2 linked regions of the Mytilus edulis genome follow. The protein of the gene in region 1 interacts with the protein of each later gene in a pairwise test. Links are inferred from orthologs where the notes say so. Each region holds a gene or a part of one and is shown on either strand. Other genes may lie near its edges.

The links.
Region 2: the proteins of cytidine deaminase-like (region 1) and DNA-directed RNA polymerases I, II, and III subunit RPABC3-like interact in a two-hybrid assay, tested with the Caenorhabditis elegans proteins (2 studies listed by BioGRID). The link is inferred for Mytilus edulis from reciprocal best matches to the Caenorhabditis elegans genes cdd-2 and rpb-8.

What each region holds. Positions count from the first base shown.
Region 1 is NC_092356.1:62,036,089-62,045,000, reverse strand, and holds the start of cytidine deaminase-like, read right to left. Parts: upstream 3,921-8,912; 5' UTR 3,830-3,920; coding exon 3,805-3,829; intron 1-3,804. Other genes in the region: nucleolar complex protein 2 homolog, read left to right, coding at 3,976-4,016.
Region 2 is NC_092348.1:81,822,668-81,831,772, reverse strand, and holds the start of DNA-directed RNA polymerases I, II, and III subunit RPABC3-like, read right to left. Parts: upstream 3,533-9,105; 5' UTR 3,317-3,532; coding exon 3,244-3,316; intron 608-3,243; coding exon 524-607; intron 1-523. UniProt on the Caenorhabditis elegans protein: DNA-dependent RNA polymerase catalyzes the transcription of DNA into RNA using the four ribonucleoside triphosphates as substrates.

The sequences.
Region 1 (8,912 bases):
TCATTGCGGATAACCACGTTTACATGTACTTGTGTATATTGATTTTCTGTTGACTTTTACAGTTTCTTTTCTCGAATCAAGTGCAGAATTTAACTATATAATTTGATGTTTATTAATTAATTCATTCATCATGATCATTGTAGTATGTTAAGAAGGTAATTCGTTTTTAAAAGCAAGGGATTAACAATATAAGTAAAAACAATATTAATATCCTGTCTGCACAATCCTAATGATCATCCCTAATTCATACAATCCTGAATGAACCGGATTATAGCGAAATAAACTACGTAATTATTGATATGTAGCAATACACATAATAATTAATAATAAATAAGCTTTATTTAGACATGTTAGAGTCGGCAAGGTATTCAAACAGAGACAACATAGGCTCTAATGAGCTTTTATCCTACATTAATTCAATACACATTCTTAGAATTCATCGATATCACATAAATACATAATTATGTTACATATACATGTATGCATACTTCTACATAAATATAATGTCAATACAAACACAAATTATTGCCGCTTTGACAACAGAAATAAGTGCTAATAAAGACCTCGTTGAACTATGGTTGCTTTATTTTAGTGCTTTCTGCAATGTCCGTGCTTAGAATCCAGATGCGGATTTAAGAGGGGCAGGCCGTCCCTAAAGTCCCCTTAGGAGCTTCACATATTACAAATGCAAAGACTCAAACTGACGATGGCTACATTGTAACTATGGATCCGTACCTTACCCCCCCCCCCCCCCTTTTCTTTTTACATCTACATGTCATCTAACGTTCATACATGAGCATTTTTCAATCACCTAACCTCGTCGTGTTGTTCTCGGTTATACGGTTTCATGTATTTATGATTAAAGGGGGTCCGAATGAGGGTCCTTCATTTCTGTATCCTTAAATCTTTATGCTATTTATCTGTATTTTTTATTTTTTGTCTATTGTTTTCAATCATTTATACATGTATCATAACAACCCATTATTAAATCTACTTCATGTTTCTTCTGTTTTTCTCCTCCTCCCCCCTTTTTTCTGTATTTTTTGCCAATTATTCTCTATGCTGGGAACCTTGTATCATTCAGACCCACGTATATATCTGATAATACTCTGATATTTTTTTATACTATAATTATATATAAGTAACTGTCTAGATTGATTCTATATCTGCGTGTTTATTAACGAAAACAAGCACTTTGTGTTAAGATATTTTTACATGTGAATAGAAACATGTTCGTGCATATATATTCGGAGTAACCTATAACAATGTATATTAGTATGCACTACATGTAAATATCTACAGCTATATATACATTTGTTTTAGTGTTTATTCGTTTTCCTTAAACCTTTTAAAATCTAGAAAATGTTCTTCCAACACATGTTTAAATTTGGAATTCCTAAATTGAACTTTTTCAACTTTGACGCAAAAATAACGTGTCTCAGAAAATTAAGTCAACCGTTCACGTGCTACATGTACATTAAAAAACTTGTTTCATCTTTTTTTTTAACCATCTTAAGGAATTGTGCCAAATAAGAAGCCGTGTTAAACTGTCTTTAAACCTTCTTTTTTGTACCAAATTGGTACACCAAAGCTTGTAACTTTTCACTAAAATAGTGTCAATGTTTGAAATTGCTATTTTTATTTCGATTGGCAAATGTGATGTGCATGTATAGTGAGTATACACCAGAAAACATTTTATTAAAATATACTGAAGACAAACCAGTGGATTAAAGAGAATGACTTATTTGTAACTCTCATAATCAGTCATCTAAACCGACAGTTTTTGCTGGAATATAAAATAAGGAGACGTGGTATGAACTTTTTACCAAAGTTCAAATGGAGTGTTTATAAGCAATTACGGGGCCCGTAAGCCTTCAAAAACTAGAAAACCCCATACCTTATAGTCAGCTATAAAAGGCTCCGACATGAAAAATGTGGAACACGTTATTTAAAGACAGACTGAAAATTCTTCAGCTGAGCATATTAACGAGGTCAAGAATGTTGAAATACATATATATATACAAAAAAGAAGATGTGGTATGATTGCCAATGAGACAACTGTCCACAACAGATTTTATACTAATTTATTTACTGTTCACTTATGGAAATTATTTATAATGTTTCTCACGTTGAAACTCCACACCATGAATAGATATATTTGATGTTTACAAAGCGTTTGATATATATTGATTTCGCCTTCGATTCTGACAGACAATGTCGATTTTACACCGAAGGTCGATTTCATACACAGTCGTTCGTCTGAAACTAATTACTACGTATTTACTTGTTTACTTCCTTCTTTAGTACGGGGGCTTATTATATACACCTGAAACTTAATATACGTTATGCAGTATATCAAGTATTATAGGGTTATTGCATGAATATTGGGGAATATTGTCCCGAGTAGAATTTTGTATTGCACGAGCTTGCGAGTGCAATATATGTTCTACGAGGGACAGTATTCCCTAATATTCATGCAATAACCCTTTTATTGTATAGAAATATAATATTTGAAAGTAAAAATTGGTTTAAACTAAGATTTAAACGTTGATGACGTCATGAATTTTGAAGATTTATTGCACTAACTGCAATATTAGAATTTATTGCACGCTAACTTTTGGTTACGTTCTGTGGGAAATATTATATTGCTATACAATAAACATATTTACTATCTAATATATTTGCTTTAATTTGAAAACGACTTTCCTCGATAATAAATTATGTGTTCCTGTGTTTGTTCACACACTGTCAGAACCCCTACTGGAATGAAATATTTTAATTATTATCAAGTCTTAACAATATTCTTTATGTATTTTTCTTCATTGATAATACTCAGAATTTATCAAAATTGCAGCTCTGAGCGTTTTTATGCGTTTTAAATTAGTTGATTACATTTACTGAAAAAATTACATACATAAATCTGTAATCGTGACTGACAACACATTTTAGAGGCGTATCACGACAGGTGTCGTATGTGGAGCAGGATCTGTTTACCCTTCTAGAGCACCCAGTGAGATGACCCACGGCCGTTAATAAGGGTTCGTGTTGTCGGCTATTCTTAGTGTTTTTGTCATTATGTTTTGAGTATTGTTGGTTAATTTTTCGTCGTTTTTCATGTTTTTTTCAATATTGTATTGTCTGTTTGTGTTCGGACTTTGATATGAGTTTGAATGTCATTTGGTATCTTTTGCCTCCCTTTTGGTCAGTACACAATGCAAGTAAAATGAAGTCGAAAGAATTTGAGTGAATGGCCCTACATTTCGACTATCTCTCCTCAGTCCTCAGGCTCCTCATCATTTTTTTCAATACGTACACCCAGAACTATTCTTCAATGTGATATTTCAATTCCGATAAATATAATGTTTTATTACAAAACCAAAAGTGAGATAAACTAAACCCCCCTTTTCACAAAAAAAAAGTATATACAAAAAAGGTAATTTTAAAAATAAACAGTTAGACCTTACAATTTATCATAGTTATTCAAGGAATCATAATGTCTCACATTGTAATGCATGTTTATGAATATATATTTATTTATTCTTTTACTACTTATTTTTTTTCTTCTTCAAATGACTACATGTATATTCGAAATCTATTAATTATTTGATAATTAATTTACTATCATCAGCATCATTATTAAAATAAAATCAATCGTCGTTGTTGTCATCAACATCATCATTATAATCATCATTTTACTAAACAACGTTCATTTATATCCTAGATGAAAAATTTCTGTTTCATATGCAAGTTTTCTTAATTTTACGTAAAACTCTAATTAGGAAAACATATAATTATTTTCCTTACCTGCATCTGAACTCTTGTTCTCCATGTTATTCGAATACGTAAAAATGAATGAATGAAGACTTGTTTACTATTTCTATTTACCACCAGGGTCAACAGGTGAAAGTTGAAAGGCTTATATATGCATCTTCAACCGGAAGTGTAAAAATCAAAACAAATACTTCAACTTCCGCTATGGCCGCCTCCATGAAGAAAAGCATGTCCAGCAAGAAAAGGTTGTTGTACTTAAAATCATGTCATTTTTAACATTCTAAATGAATAAAAATTATATTCTATCAATAATTAGTCATACAAAACAGTTACACGTTAACAAAATTAACTAAACGCCATCGCTCAAAAACACGTTTTTTTTTTAAACATGTATACAAATATACATGATTTACACAATATAATTATTTATTATCCATTGCTTTCATCAATTCCTGTCGATCCGGCGCTAATCCGATACGCCAAATTCGATCTGGACCACAAATATAGTCGATGAGGACCCAATTTGAAATAAAATGATTACCATACATAATTTTCAATATTTTATTTAGGATAACATTGCATGTTTGTATATATATGTACATGTACTTGTACTTACTTATAATGTAGATCCAAATGTTTACGGAACAACTGAGCTGCAAGGGTATAGTTGAATCTGTGTACACTCCTTTATATCAGGATTAACAGGTTGGGAACAACTCTAGCCCTAAAATGAGGGGACTATCCCTTTTATGAGGGGTATCCCGTAGTCATCTGTTCTCAATAGTTATCAGTTCTCAATAGCAATGCACCCTGGTAAAATAGAAGTAGGTCGTGAATTCGCACATGTTTTCTTGATGTCCGTATTTCAAAGACAGAATAAAAACTCGCTTCAAGCAAGCAATAATGTCACCATTTCAAGTTTCAGACATGGTATAACGTTCAACAGCAGTGTTCTCCCCAGGCCGTTTTAGCACAGCGCTTTTCAGCGCTATTGCAATTCCCCGCTGTCCTATTGCACTGACCACAGCGCTATCCCATGCAAACGCGTCGCTATATTTTTTTTCGTATTTTTCAAATTTTTTCAAATTTCCCGCTTATTTTTCACTTCAGACCACATGATCGACTGGTTTACGATTTTTGAAAGAATTTTCGTTGTATTAAAGTAACTCCGCGGGACCAGTCTCATAAATTTTACAAAATGGCGTTTTTTGAAAGATCAAAATAAACAAAGATTTCGACATTGACATCTATTATTTTAATTTAAAGAATATATAGAGGCATATATGAATGAAATGAGATGAAATGAATTGACCGCATTTCCTGACGTCACTCACAAACTTGTTTTACAAACTTTGAACAAACGAGGATTTTAAAAACGATCAAACACAGGGGTCTGTTACAAATTATTTGCCGGGTTTACTATCCATACGAACCCCGAAAATGAGCAAGTCTTTTAAGTATTCATTATCCCTTATTCGAACTTATAATTGTTTAGTCAGAAATTCTACCATTTGATAGCATATGATTAGAAAAACAAACCCAAGCTGATATGACTTGAGAAATTTTACTGTCTCCATTTCAAGCTTGGATGAGGCCATTTAAATATTATAAACGTTAAGGTCATAAAAATGAAAAAAAATGTTAATTCCTGTCAAACGTCATAAGGTTAACAGTACACTGCTACAGTTGGTTACAAAACCAAACACTGAAACAGAAGCTGACAATGACTTTATTGTTGGTCCTTACATGTTCTGCATTATTACCTGATAGTGCTAAGAAATCTTCACACAGACATGTCTGGTGTAGACCCATTATGGAAAAAGATTTCTCCTCCAGTTTTATACATAGATAGTATGAGGATTATATATATGAATTTACAATGGAGAAAAAAATACTCTTCTTCTTTATCCAGACAATAACATTAACAATCAAAGCCTCATTAAGGGGTACACTGTAACTTCCATGAGCATGATGAGGACATCATAACAAGAGGAAACATCAACAGCATAATATAATAAAAACACATAACAAAACAATTACAAACCGTGCGCCGCGATAAAGTTACTGAGCATTGTCAAAAATTATGCGATTACCACAGCGCTATCCAAAAATTCTGGGGAGAACACTGCAACAGTATAAATAATATTTTTCAATTTTAACCTACTTTTCCTTATTCCCAAAACAACCCCAACTTCATCCCCTTGGTTCATTAATAGCAAATCAGAGCTCCAGATAAGCTGCATATTTGCGTCATCACACAATAAAAATAATTAAAAACCCAATGCAATTGCCCATTGCAGGGTTCAATAACCCAATTAATTCAAAGGAAATTATCTGATTATATATATGCCAAAACTATGAGTTCTTAACGCTTTTACTCGCTATCGTTTGCGTTATTTACCCTTATCTGATTACAGTCGTAGCGTAAATCTATTTTATAATATTAATAATTGGAAATGTCCTATCATTCTAAAAATAGAGCCCTGCATCAGGTAGCTGAAATGGGTCCCTGTTGGAACATACAATGATTTAAAACGAAAGTAAATGTCCGCATGTTTTCATCTTCTTTTTGATAGCTTAGGGAAAGCTATGATAATAACAAAACTCAGCTAGTTTTTTAATGAAGCATCCATCAAACGCATGTGCGTGTTTGCATACCTTGGGGTTACGTCAAAAACGAAACCAGTTGTAAAAAGTGAAAGGTATATCTAAATCTGGGAACTACTTATTTTTTTTTTTTGTAAAGTAGGTCTGGCAAATAGGTGAAACTACTGGCAAAACTTTCTTACAGCACCTAGCTTAGTGGTTAAAAACCCAATTTGATATTTGCTTGAGGGGTGAACTGAAATTGATAATGCAATTAAAAATCTTTATCACCCAATTACGTAAAAAAATGGTGGGTAAAAACCACAATTTGTGAATTCTTATCTGGAACTGTGGCACATTTTCAAATGTAAACAAAACCTAGCTCGAAAAGAATGTCAAGTCCACATATGTATTACACAATTGTTAGATGTAGTGTGACACCGCTATGGAAAAAAAATCTATGGAACGCAGTTTCGGCCATATCTTATGAACTTTAAAGTTTAATTCGATTCAATTATCGGAGAAGGTATGCCCTTAAATTTGTATCTGTGACAGTCAAATATAAAAAACAGCTGTGACAACTTCTTACATTGTATAACATATAAGAACTGGTTCAATACGGAGCAAAAGTTGGTTACACTACTGAGAACCGATAACACTAGGATACTTTTAGTCCAAATAATTATGAGGTCTTGGAAGGCTATTTTAAATTTTTGCTTTGACGCCTTCCTGCAATGTAAGGCCTCAAAGATAAAAATATAATAGCCTTTCAAGATGTCATAATTATTTGGACTACATGTACATGTAGGGTACTTTTCAAGTGATAAAATTTGGATATTTGTTAAAAACCTCTTTTTAGTACAAATGGGCACATATTTATATTTAATACTATTCAAAGAAACTATTTCCCAAAAATCTATACATCTATCTGGTATTACATGGTAAAAACATGTCCAAGATTTTTTTATATTCCTGGACATACAATGTATACAATGTATACATGTACGTGTACATGTATCTTCTTTATTATTAAAATTAATTCAACCCTTCTTTTAGAAAAGTTGTTCGAAATATAATGATTTTTTTCCTTTTACAATGTTTTTAAAGTAATAAATCTAAAAAAAAATCTATTTTCTTTTCTACAACAGTAAAATGACCCCTTCTCTAAGGGGATTCCTTTATATAAGGGATATCCCTCATTTGGGGGTGTTCCCAACATGTTAAATGGAGTAATGGAGATGTTACACCAACGTATTTACAAATATTTACAAGAACAATCCCCATCCCAACACACGGAAGTGCTCGGACAATGAATAAAGGTTGTTATTATGGTGGAGAAAGCCAAAGTACTAGGAGCCAACCGCCATGCTGCTCACCAGGAACAGACAAACCCAAGAGAGACTGTGGATTCATTTATTTTCGTGTGTACCAATTTTTGTGGATTGAGAAAATATTGTATTTTAGTGAAAATTTATTTGATTTCGTGGTTTTACTAAAGGGTTTATACAAGCCTAAAGAGAATTTATACTTCGTTGAACATTTAATTTCGTGGTTCACCTCAAACCACGAAATCAATGAGAACTGGTATCCCACGAAAATAAATAAATCCACAGTATCAGTAGATTGATCTTCCGGTCAAGGTCATTGGCAACATTGACCAACTGAGGTCCCAAAAGTACCCATTCTAGTTTAAACTCCGGTCTTGGTACCAGAGATATTGTGTTGGAAGTTGAAAATCACCTATCTGATGAACTGATATTTTCAATGCTCTGAATTGAATGTGGACCTTCAGCACTGTAGCCATGAGTCTCTTAACCAGTAGACAATAAACACACCTGTTTATGATATAAATATTAATGATTTTTTTATCATTATCAAAGGTATATGTAGATGATCAAAATTGTGCCCTAAATTTACAATTTTCAAAAGAGGAGACATTTATTTGAATACTTTAAATATTCTAAATATTTGTACTAGATTTCATATAGAAATATATTGAAATTTTTAATTTTTATACGACCGCAAAATTTGAAAATTTTTTCGTCGTATATTGCTATCACGTTGGCGTTGGCGTCGTCGTCGTCGTCCGGCGTCCGAATACTTTTAGTTTTCGCACTCTAACTTTAGTAAAAGTGAATGGAAATCTATGAAATTTTAACTAAAGGTTTATGACCACAAAAGGAAGGTTGGTATTGATTTTGGGAGTTTTGGTCCCAACATTTTAGGAATTAGGGGCCAAAAAGGGCCCAAATAAGCATTTTCTTGGTTTTCGCACTATAACTTTAGTTTAAGTTAATAGAAATCTATGAAATTTTGACACAAGGTTTATGACCACAAAAGAACGGTTGGGATTGATTTTGGGAGTTTAGGTTTCAACAGTTTAGGAATTAGGGGCCAAAAAAGGCCCCAAATAAGCATTATTCTTGGTTTTCGCACAATAACTTGAGTTTAAGTAAATAGAAATCAATGAAATTTAAACACAATGTTAATGACTACAAAAGGAAGGTTGGTATTGATTTTGGGAGTTTAGGTCCTAACAGTTTAGGAATTAGGGG
Region 2 (9,105 bases), on another chromosome or scaffold:
GGGGGCCCACTGACTGCCTTAGAGGGGACTGCTCCAGTCACGCTTCAGTGATTCCCTATATAAGCAACCATTTTTTTCCAAAAAAAGGGGGGGCCCACCCCCCTGTCCCTCTAAATCCGCCTCCTCCCCCTAAACAGTTCAGCACAGTTACATGTTGTAATAGGTGTGCAAAAGGTATGAACCAAACTTATATGAATTACTTATATGAATTGACCTAGAACAAATATTGACCAGTACATACGGAATGTTCATAGGAGTATCCCAAAATTGGCAAGTCACTGAGACATTCTTCCAAAAATAATAAGACAAAACAAATCTTACAATCTTGCACTTTTTTTCATAAAATTCAATTTATAATTCTGTTTTACATTGTTTTTTGTTGTGGTTTGGGAGGGGGGAGACATATTAGCCTTAGAAAGACATTTGAAGATCTACACAAGGTGACCTTTACTGAATAATTAACATACATATTTATATGTTATTTTTTCTTTTAATTTCTAATGCAAATTTGAACATCACTTACCCAATTCAACAGGATAAATTTGAGTGTTCACATCAAGAATCAAGTCCATCTTGAAAGATTCTGACTCACAAAATAATCTGGATACTGAAATAAAGATAAATCATTATACACATTGTCATCAGGACAAAAACTTTAAAAATTAAAACAAACTATAATAAAGAAGAATCTGACATCTCTTTAAGATATAATTTATTTTCATACTTCATAAATTTGAATAGTTGCCAGTGAAATATTTTCTCTTTTCTATAAGTGCTGTGAATTATATAAGACATATAATAACTCCAAAAACACTCTTATCCAAGATAAACAAAAGAAACACTAATAGGATTACTGAAATATGATAACTTGTGTGGAATATATAACAAATGTTATTTGGTTGTTTACATAGGGAATCACTGAATCATGTCAGTGGGTCTCCCCTTTAAAAAAGTTCTAGATCTGCTGCTGAGGGTATATATCTATGAGATGATAAAACAACAACACATCAAAATAAGTGAAATCTAAAGTTCAAAATTTGACCTTCCACAAATCACAACAAATGTTTAAAAACATTTTAAGCTCTAATGCAATTTTCCATGATTCAAGAATCTTCTGATACCAAATTTCCTAAATGACAAGAAGATATATTAAACAAACAACCATGGCACTGATGAGTAACATGGTGAAAAGGAAGACCATGCAAGGTTTAGCAGAAAATAAAATTAATCAAATCACTGTGCAAAATACATGTACTAGGTGTAAAATATAAGTTGTATTCATCCATATTGAAATCAATAATTATGGATTGCTAAATAAAATATCTGGTTTAATGCTTTGTAATGAGACATGATTTTTCTAATCAGTTACAACAGCTCTTCTAATGAGAGCAGATGATCTAAGGAAGAAAGATCAAATATCAGTGCATGCCAGTAACCTTGTCATGTTTTGATTGTAGATTGTGTACTTCTTGACTTTACTGTTATTATCTTCAGGTAACTATTGATACAGTAATCAAAGAAATTACCGCAAAGAAAACTCAACATGCATGTCTTTTGATATCATTTTTCTTTTCCCTTTTCACATATTTCTGCTTGGTTAAAAAAATATAGAGGGAAAGAATGGTTTATTTTCCTCAAATTTAATTTATTTTAAGTAGAGCAAATGAAGAACCATTCCCTTTTTATAAGTTGAATTGCACAAAATGATCTTCTAGTAATAATTAACTAAAATATATGCAGTTAATAAAATAGAGACTCAGGCATACATACTTGTCTATAAGATTTCCTTTATTTTTCAAGTTTTTTTTTATTTAACAAAAAATAAATTGCTGATGCTCTGCACAACTTTGGTATACATGTACATGTATGTACACATACCAAATACCATATTGCTATAGTCTTGTTTATAGAGTATTCTTGATAACTGTTGATAAGTATGTACCCTACAAAAGTCAGAAGGGGCAAACCTTAAAAGTCCCATTAAATTATTAGGTAAAAGACAAGAATGATGCCACTCTTCAATAATGCCCTCTTTCAAAAAAAAAAACCCTTATACATAGTAACATACAAATGTATGGTAATGTGTTTTTGTAGAACATTCACTTCACATAAATAATCAAGAGTGAATTAACAATTGTTTAATAAAATATTACAAATAAATTAAGAAGAGTTTGTTGAGGTGTAATAAAATATATAATAGAGTAATGGTAAATATGAGAGGTGAATGAACTTGTCAACCCACAGGTAACATACAGGTAAGTAATGTGTATTCCCTTTCCTAGGCAACCAGTGCAAGATCCAACATGTGGCTTCTGTCAGAAAAATGTCAGTGATGGCAAAAAAAGATTATGTGTTAAGATTAAAAAACAGAGGACAAGACAAATACTCTAATATGCTACAATTTATATTGTAATTGAAGTTATGCAGTATATATAGTAATGACAATACAATACTATTGTCAAGTGATTGATCAAAAGGGGTGGTTACTATCATGTTCCAGCCTGTTAATCAGATCAACTTTAAATCAATAGCAGATAACATTGATCATATTATTTCACTGCAATATCAATCATCATTTATCATGGTTTTTTTTTTTTTATCTTTTTGCATGAAATAATAAGTGCAATTTCATGTATAGAAAGAAATTTCCAAGACACCAAATTAAAACACATAATTCAAAGCCTTACTTGTACTGGTGTGAGGTCACAAGTCCTGGGTCCACAGTCTACTTCTAAATGATCTCCAAAGCATACATCAGTTTGCATCTTTAGTTGAGGTTTAAGTGATAAAATCATGTCAATTTCTGATATTTACAGATCTTCAGTAACATTAACAGTACCAATCTCTTCTCTTGATTGTGCCAGAATGAAGTACTAACAGTCGGCAGGGGGTTTTGTACTTCTTTTAATGTGACAAGCCAATCACATGAGAATGGTCTGACATGAACAAACATGTTGTCAAAAGACCGGGTACATGCTGGAATTCCAACGTATGAACCAAATTTCTGAAGTTTTTTTTCGAAGAAATTAAGAAAAGAAAACATTGCTTATAGCTTCAGCTAAATTATCACCTTGGCTAATTTCCAAATATTGTTGGAATCTAAAGGAAAATGTCACGTTTCACCCGGCAGACGCCATCTTGGAATGTCATTTGCCGGTAAATGAGATTGAACACGTTTGGACAGCATTCAACCTTAGTGACAAGTAAAAAAATATTTGAAAAATAGTATTTTATTTGGCTTACCTCTGTCGAACTTTTTCCCATCAGGATCAATGTCTTTCACATCAAAAATATCTTCAAACAAAACTCCAGCCATTGTTTGACGACAAAATTAGCAGTCAAACTTTATTTCCTTTCTTGTCCAAAGATCGTTTTTCTTCGCAAAACAGGATATTTCCAGTGTTAGAGTAGATGTTCAAGAATACCAAAATACAAATTATAGGGCTTATATTGTTCTTATTTAATCAAAATTAACGTTTAATGTTTGCTAATCATGCTAATTGAAACCGGAAGTGGCAATTGAAATACATTTTTCCTACTTTCATTATTAAAGAGTTCACACTACGTGACACGCCCACTTTTTGATAATTTTCGGGGCGACGTATGGGGGTCTGATGTAATGTGCGCAGAAATAACGATGGTCAAGCGCGAATGATGTTACGTTTTTAATTCTTGTCAAATCTATTAACTGATTAATACACTAAAGTTAGCAAAGCTTATAGCTGGGAAAATAATACATTTTCTCTCAAGATAAAATATGATCATTTTTAAAAAACTTTGATTTAATTGGCGGAATTTTATTATTGGCTGCTTAGCATCCAGTGGCAAATATTTCAATATGACAATTTCCAAATTCATATCAAAAGTTTTCTGGAAATGAAGAAGTGATCAGAACTGTGAAAAATATATTGAAACATAGAAATTTGATTTCCTTAGTTATGGTAACTATCATGACATCATAGGTGTGTTAGGAAAATCAGTCCTTTCTAAATTTCATTTCTTAGACAGTCCTTTATTCCATTTCAATTTTTTATAATGAATATTTGAATAGTTAAATAATGACACTCGAGACCTCTAGTAGCAAAACATTCCCATTTAAATTCTTGAACGGAGAATTGGTCCTGTGTTTGTTTACCATAACTTCAAATAAAACAATGCATACATGAATTTTTTTTCAGAACAAGGAATTTTCCTGTAGTCTTGTAATAAAACTGAGACAATAGGCATTTTAACCTTTGCATATAAGTCGATGGATTGTTGTAGCTTATATTGAACTGGACATAAATTATACTAGTAAATTATTTAACCATATGGGCCTTATATGAGGGGGAGGACAGGGGTAAGGGAGACAGGGAGAAAGGGGGTAGGAGAAAGGAGAAACGGGGTGGGAGAAAGGAGAAAGGGGGTAGGAGAAAGGAGAGGAAGGCTGGGAGAAAGGAGAAAAAGTTGGAGAAAGGAGGTAGGAGAAAGGAGAGGAAGGCTGGGAGAAAGGAGAAAAAGTTGGAGAAAGGAGAAAAAATAAAATATCTCTCCTCTTAAAAATTTTTCTAATATTTCAAGAAAAAATATCTCAAAAGGAGATGTTTTATTCTAATGGGAGAAAGGAGAACGGGGGTAGGAGAAAGGAGAAGAGGGGTGGGAGAAGGGAGAAGGGTACCCCCTGTCCTCCCCCTCTTATATACTATCCATTAGAGTTCCAAAAACACATTTGACCTGGACCAATTAATTAAGCAGTGATATTTGCACGGCTGACTGGCACTACGGCTTACTATTCGAACTTTGAGCAATGAGTGTACATACGTATAGTGGTATCTTGTTTCGTCACGTAGATGCATGAGCCTTTTCATGTTTTTTTTTTATTATGTGATAAGTTGGCTTGTTTTAGTGATTATGTGATAACCAGACCAAATATTTCAGTCATGATTATTTATTTGATAATCTAGGACGGTTTTTGATTATTTGATTATCTTTGTAAATAATTTTATGTTTTGATTGGCAGTTTTCATTATGTGATTACTTGCATGGACATCTCATGAGGGTTAATCAAGCGTGGATGGTACTTTGCCCCTTCTTACAATGTAAATATTCAATTACATTTGTTAAAATGATCCGTATTTGGAATTTAAGCTGTACAATGTAAAAACCCTTTTACAAGGCGGGATATCGCCCCCTCATTTTTACGTGAATGTTGTATAATTAGAGCCCGCGAACTGAAACGATCTACGTTAACTCATTGGTTCTATGAATACACTTATCCTTAAAGGTTATCGTTTTATCGATCACTGTATAAGATCTTTGAAGGATTTAACATTGATTTGGTTATTATTGAGTTAAAATATACCTAATTTGTAAATATGCTTTTGTTATATACAGCTATGAAAACTTGTCATATTAGATTTCTCCTTTGAATTGCTTTAAACTTGTCATATCGGGACCGTTTGGTTTTGCCCATAGTTGAAGGCCCTACGGTGACATATATATAGTGGTTAATATTTACGTCATTTGGTGGAGAGTTGTCTCATTGTCAAAAATACCACATGTTCTTGTATTTATCTTATCATATGCTCCTAGTTATATTACACTGTGTCTAAACCACACCGGCAAAATTTGCTCGGACTCGATGGTATCTAACATCCGGCACAATGACGGAACACCAATAGACAAAATAAAGGTAGGTTTCTCCTTATTTTTTTATTTTTTTTATGATATCGAAGAATAAATATACATATACAACTATTTTCTATTGTGAGATGCAATATTTTCTACAACCGTTCTATATTAACGGAGAAATAAGTCAAAATGCATGTCAAAATGACGAATTGAGTGAACCTTGCCTCGAAATTGTTTAATTTCTCGTTAAATTGTTCACATTGTACGGAAAGAAAGGTACGGGAAGATAGATATTGACACGGAGATTGCAAATTTAGTTATTATGAGCATCTCCATAATTGTATCTCTGTGTATGGAACGAAAGAAATGGGTCATGTCAAAATGGAACTGGCCGGTTTCGTCAATGTATACAACCCGGTTTCGTCATAGATTTCAAAATGCATAACCCGGTTTGGTCAAATAAAAAAAATCATAATCGCATTACATTTTAATTGATAATTAAACTTCAGCGTTCAAAAGGAGTTTTGTGGGTCGTTGGAAAACAATGTTCGTTCACCGGACAACGGCTTATTATTTATATGAGTCTCAGATTCAAATAAATGATAAGCAAAAACTTGAATTCCTACTCTTATAGAACACAAATATTTTAATTTACTCAGTGTCAGAGTGACCTTTTTCATGACGTCTGTGGCCACTTATTGTTTTTAATTTTTTCCCACAAAAACAGCAAACAAACACATTTTGATCATCGGTCCTGTTGATTGCAGTTGAAACAGCTGATGAGTTTTCATTGATAAGTTCATGAAATGACTCATCTAATGCCTCAATTGTAACGTTTTCTGTCATCTGAAATAATAAAAAACAACAGATTATTTTAAAATGTCTATCAACATGAAAAGTTCATACAAATTCCAAGCGACAACAACCCGACCATAGAGCAGAAAACAGCCGAAGGCCACAATGGGTCTTCAATGAAGCGAGAAACTCCCGCGTCCGGTGGCGTACTTTAGCTGGCCCCTTAATAAATATTTATACTAGTTCAGTGATAGTGGACTTCATAGTAAACTGCGAATACATGTATATTTATTATATTTAAGGGATAATTTTAACTACGATACAAGTTTCGGCACACATCGCGCATTTACTATACAGGCTCTGTCATCGGACGAGTTAAGGTTTTTCATCATTTTTTATTATTTGTACTTTTGTTGTACTGGTTGTGTCAGCGACAACACTTTGACTCAGTCCATTCCCGAATCACACGCTTGTAATTCCATGGGTGTCTTTGGTTGCTTTATACCATATGCGTTTTGAACATAAAATAGGCAGGTAGTTTTCTTGTTTGAATTGTTTTACATTTATAATATAGGGCCCTGTTGTAGCTTGCTTTCATGCAGTTTGTGTGTTTTTCTCATTGTTTAAGGCATACGCTGACCTAAACTTGATTAATTCAACATAATTTTTGTGTCTAAAAGAAAGTTGTCTCATTGTCAATGTTTATGGGATAAGTGGTTACCGTCACTTCTTCTTAATAAGACCTAGATATAAATGACGATCGTGTTTTGCAAATCAACTTTTATTCACATTGAAAATACAAAACTGTCAGATATTGTTTTCGAAAGTTATCTTAAAGTTTCAATTGAATTTGAACTGTACAAAAAATGAATTTGAACTGTAAAAATAATGTGAAAAACATGCCTATGAAAATAAATGTGCCTACCAGAAAAGGAATGTTATGGATGCTTGAGTGTGAAAACTCGCTTTAGTGCGCAAGTAACACAGTATATATAGTACCAGAAAATCTGGCAGGACTGCATGCATGATTAATTTGTGCAGAACAGCATAGACTATAGTCGGTTTGGGACTGTTCGTCAATGATTGAATGCATAAATGTATAAATAATTGATAGTAAATATTGTAAACTAAGTGTATATAATATAGTACTAGTATAGTAAATTAAAATTATGGCACAATCAAAACACATCCTTTTATTTTTCATCTTTACATACTACTATTATAAACAAAGAAAATATAATAATGTTACAAAATAATTAGATACCAGTGCAGTATTTATATTCCTTTTAAAATTAGTTTGAAGTCAAGTGAAATAAGGGATACGCCTTTCATTAGGAAAATGTGTATTATCATAATTAACTATGTCCAAAAGTTCCCGTTTAAAATAGATTTTAACACGCCAAGTTTACTTTACAATAAATATATATTTAAATTCTCGAAAGACAATGTTCCGATCCGTGCCAAAGTCTCTTTTCATAAATTGTTTGTTAAAAAAAAACAAAAAAAAACCGGGTGATATATATAGACGAAACCGGGTGATTGTGAAGTAACAACATTGACGAAACCGGTTTATTTTAATTTGATATGGCCCTTTTCTTTCGTTCCATACACAGAAACACAATTATTGAGATGCTCATAATAACTAAATTTGCAATCTCCGTGTCAATATCTATCTTCCCGTACCTTTCTTTCCGTACAATGTGAACAATTTAACGAGAAATTAAACAATTTCGAGGCAAGGTTCACTCAATTCGTCATTTTGACATGCATTTTGACTTATTTCTCCGTTAATATAGAACGGTTGTAGAAAATATTGTATTTCACAATAGAAAATAGTTGTATATGTATATATATTCTTCGATATCATAAAAAAAATAAAAAAATAAGGAGAAACCTACCTTTATTTTGTCTATTGGTGTTCCGTCATTGTGCCGGATGTTAGATACCATCGAGTCCGAGCAAATTTTGCCGGTGTGGTTTAGACACAGTGTTATTATGGCATTGTATAAAGCGACGCGTTTTTCTAAGACCCTTGACTTATTTCAACTAAATCCGTTGTATTTGTCCGTGTCCCTAGTGTTATATGTATAAGTCTGTGAATCTACACATTCCTATCTTTCACAAATACCCCAGTTGGTACTATGTGGTAATTTTAATCATACTGATCAAGTGCTTCAATTTATGTGCCTTTTTGCTAATTGTATAATATAATTATTTGCAGGACCTAATATGTCTTCCCAGTCTACACGTCCGTTTTGCTTCGCATGCATAGGTTTAACTTTTATTTCTTGTATGTTGTATATCAAAATAGGCAAGCATTCTGGGTAGATTTTCTATATCATTCATTATGATTTTCATAATAAGACCTGTGACTGTCTCCAAACTTGACGAAGACATTTATTACGTTTAGTATTCATTTGCTCGGAAAATTAATCAGTTTCCTGGTTCATCATTGTTAGTCTTATATTTTAAGTACTATATTTTCGTTTGATCAGTAGATATATTATTTTTTAACATGATGTATCGTTATTACAGTGTTTTTTTTGTTTATGTTTGGCAGAATAAAGAATTCATAACCCTGAGCTACTTTCTTATGTTTGTGTATTGCCCTGAAACAAGACTTCACTCACACGTATTGTAAAAAGCTGCGCGTGACATATCAATTATGAAAAACATAATCATATTTCACAATAAACTCCT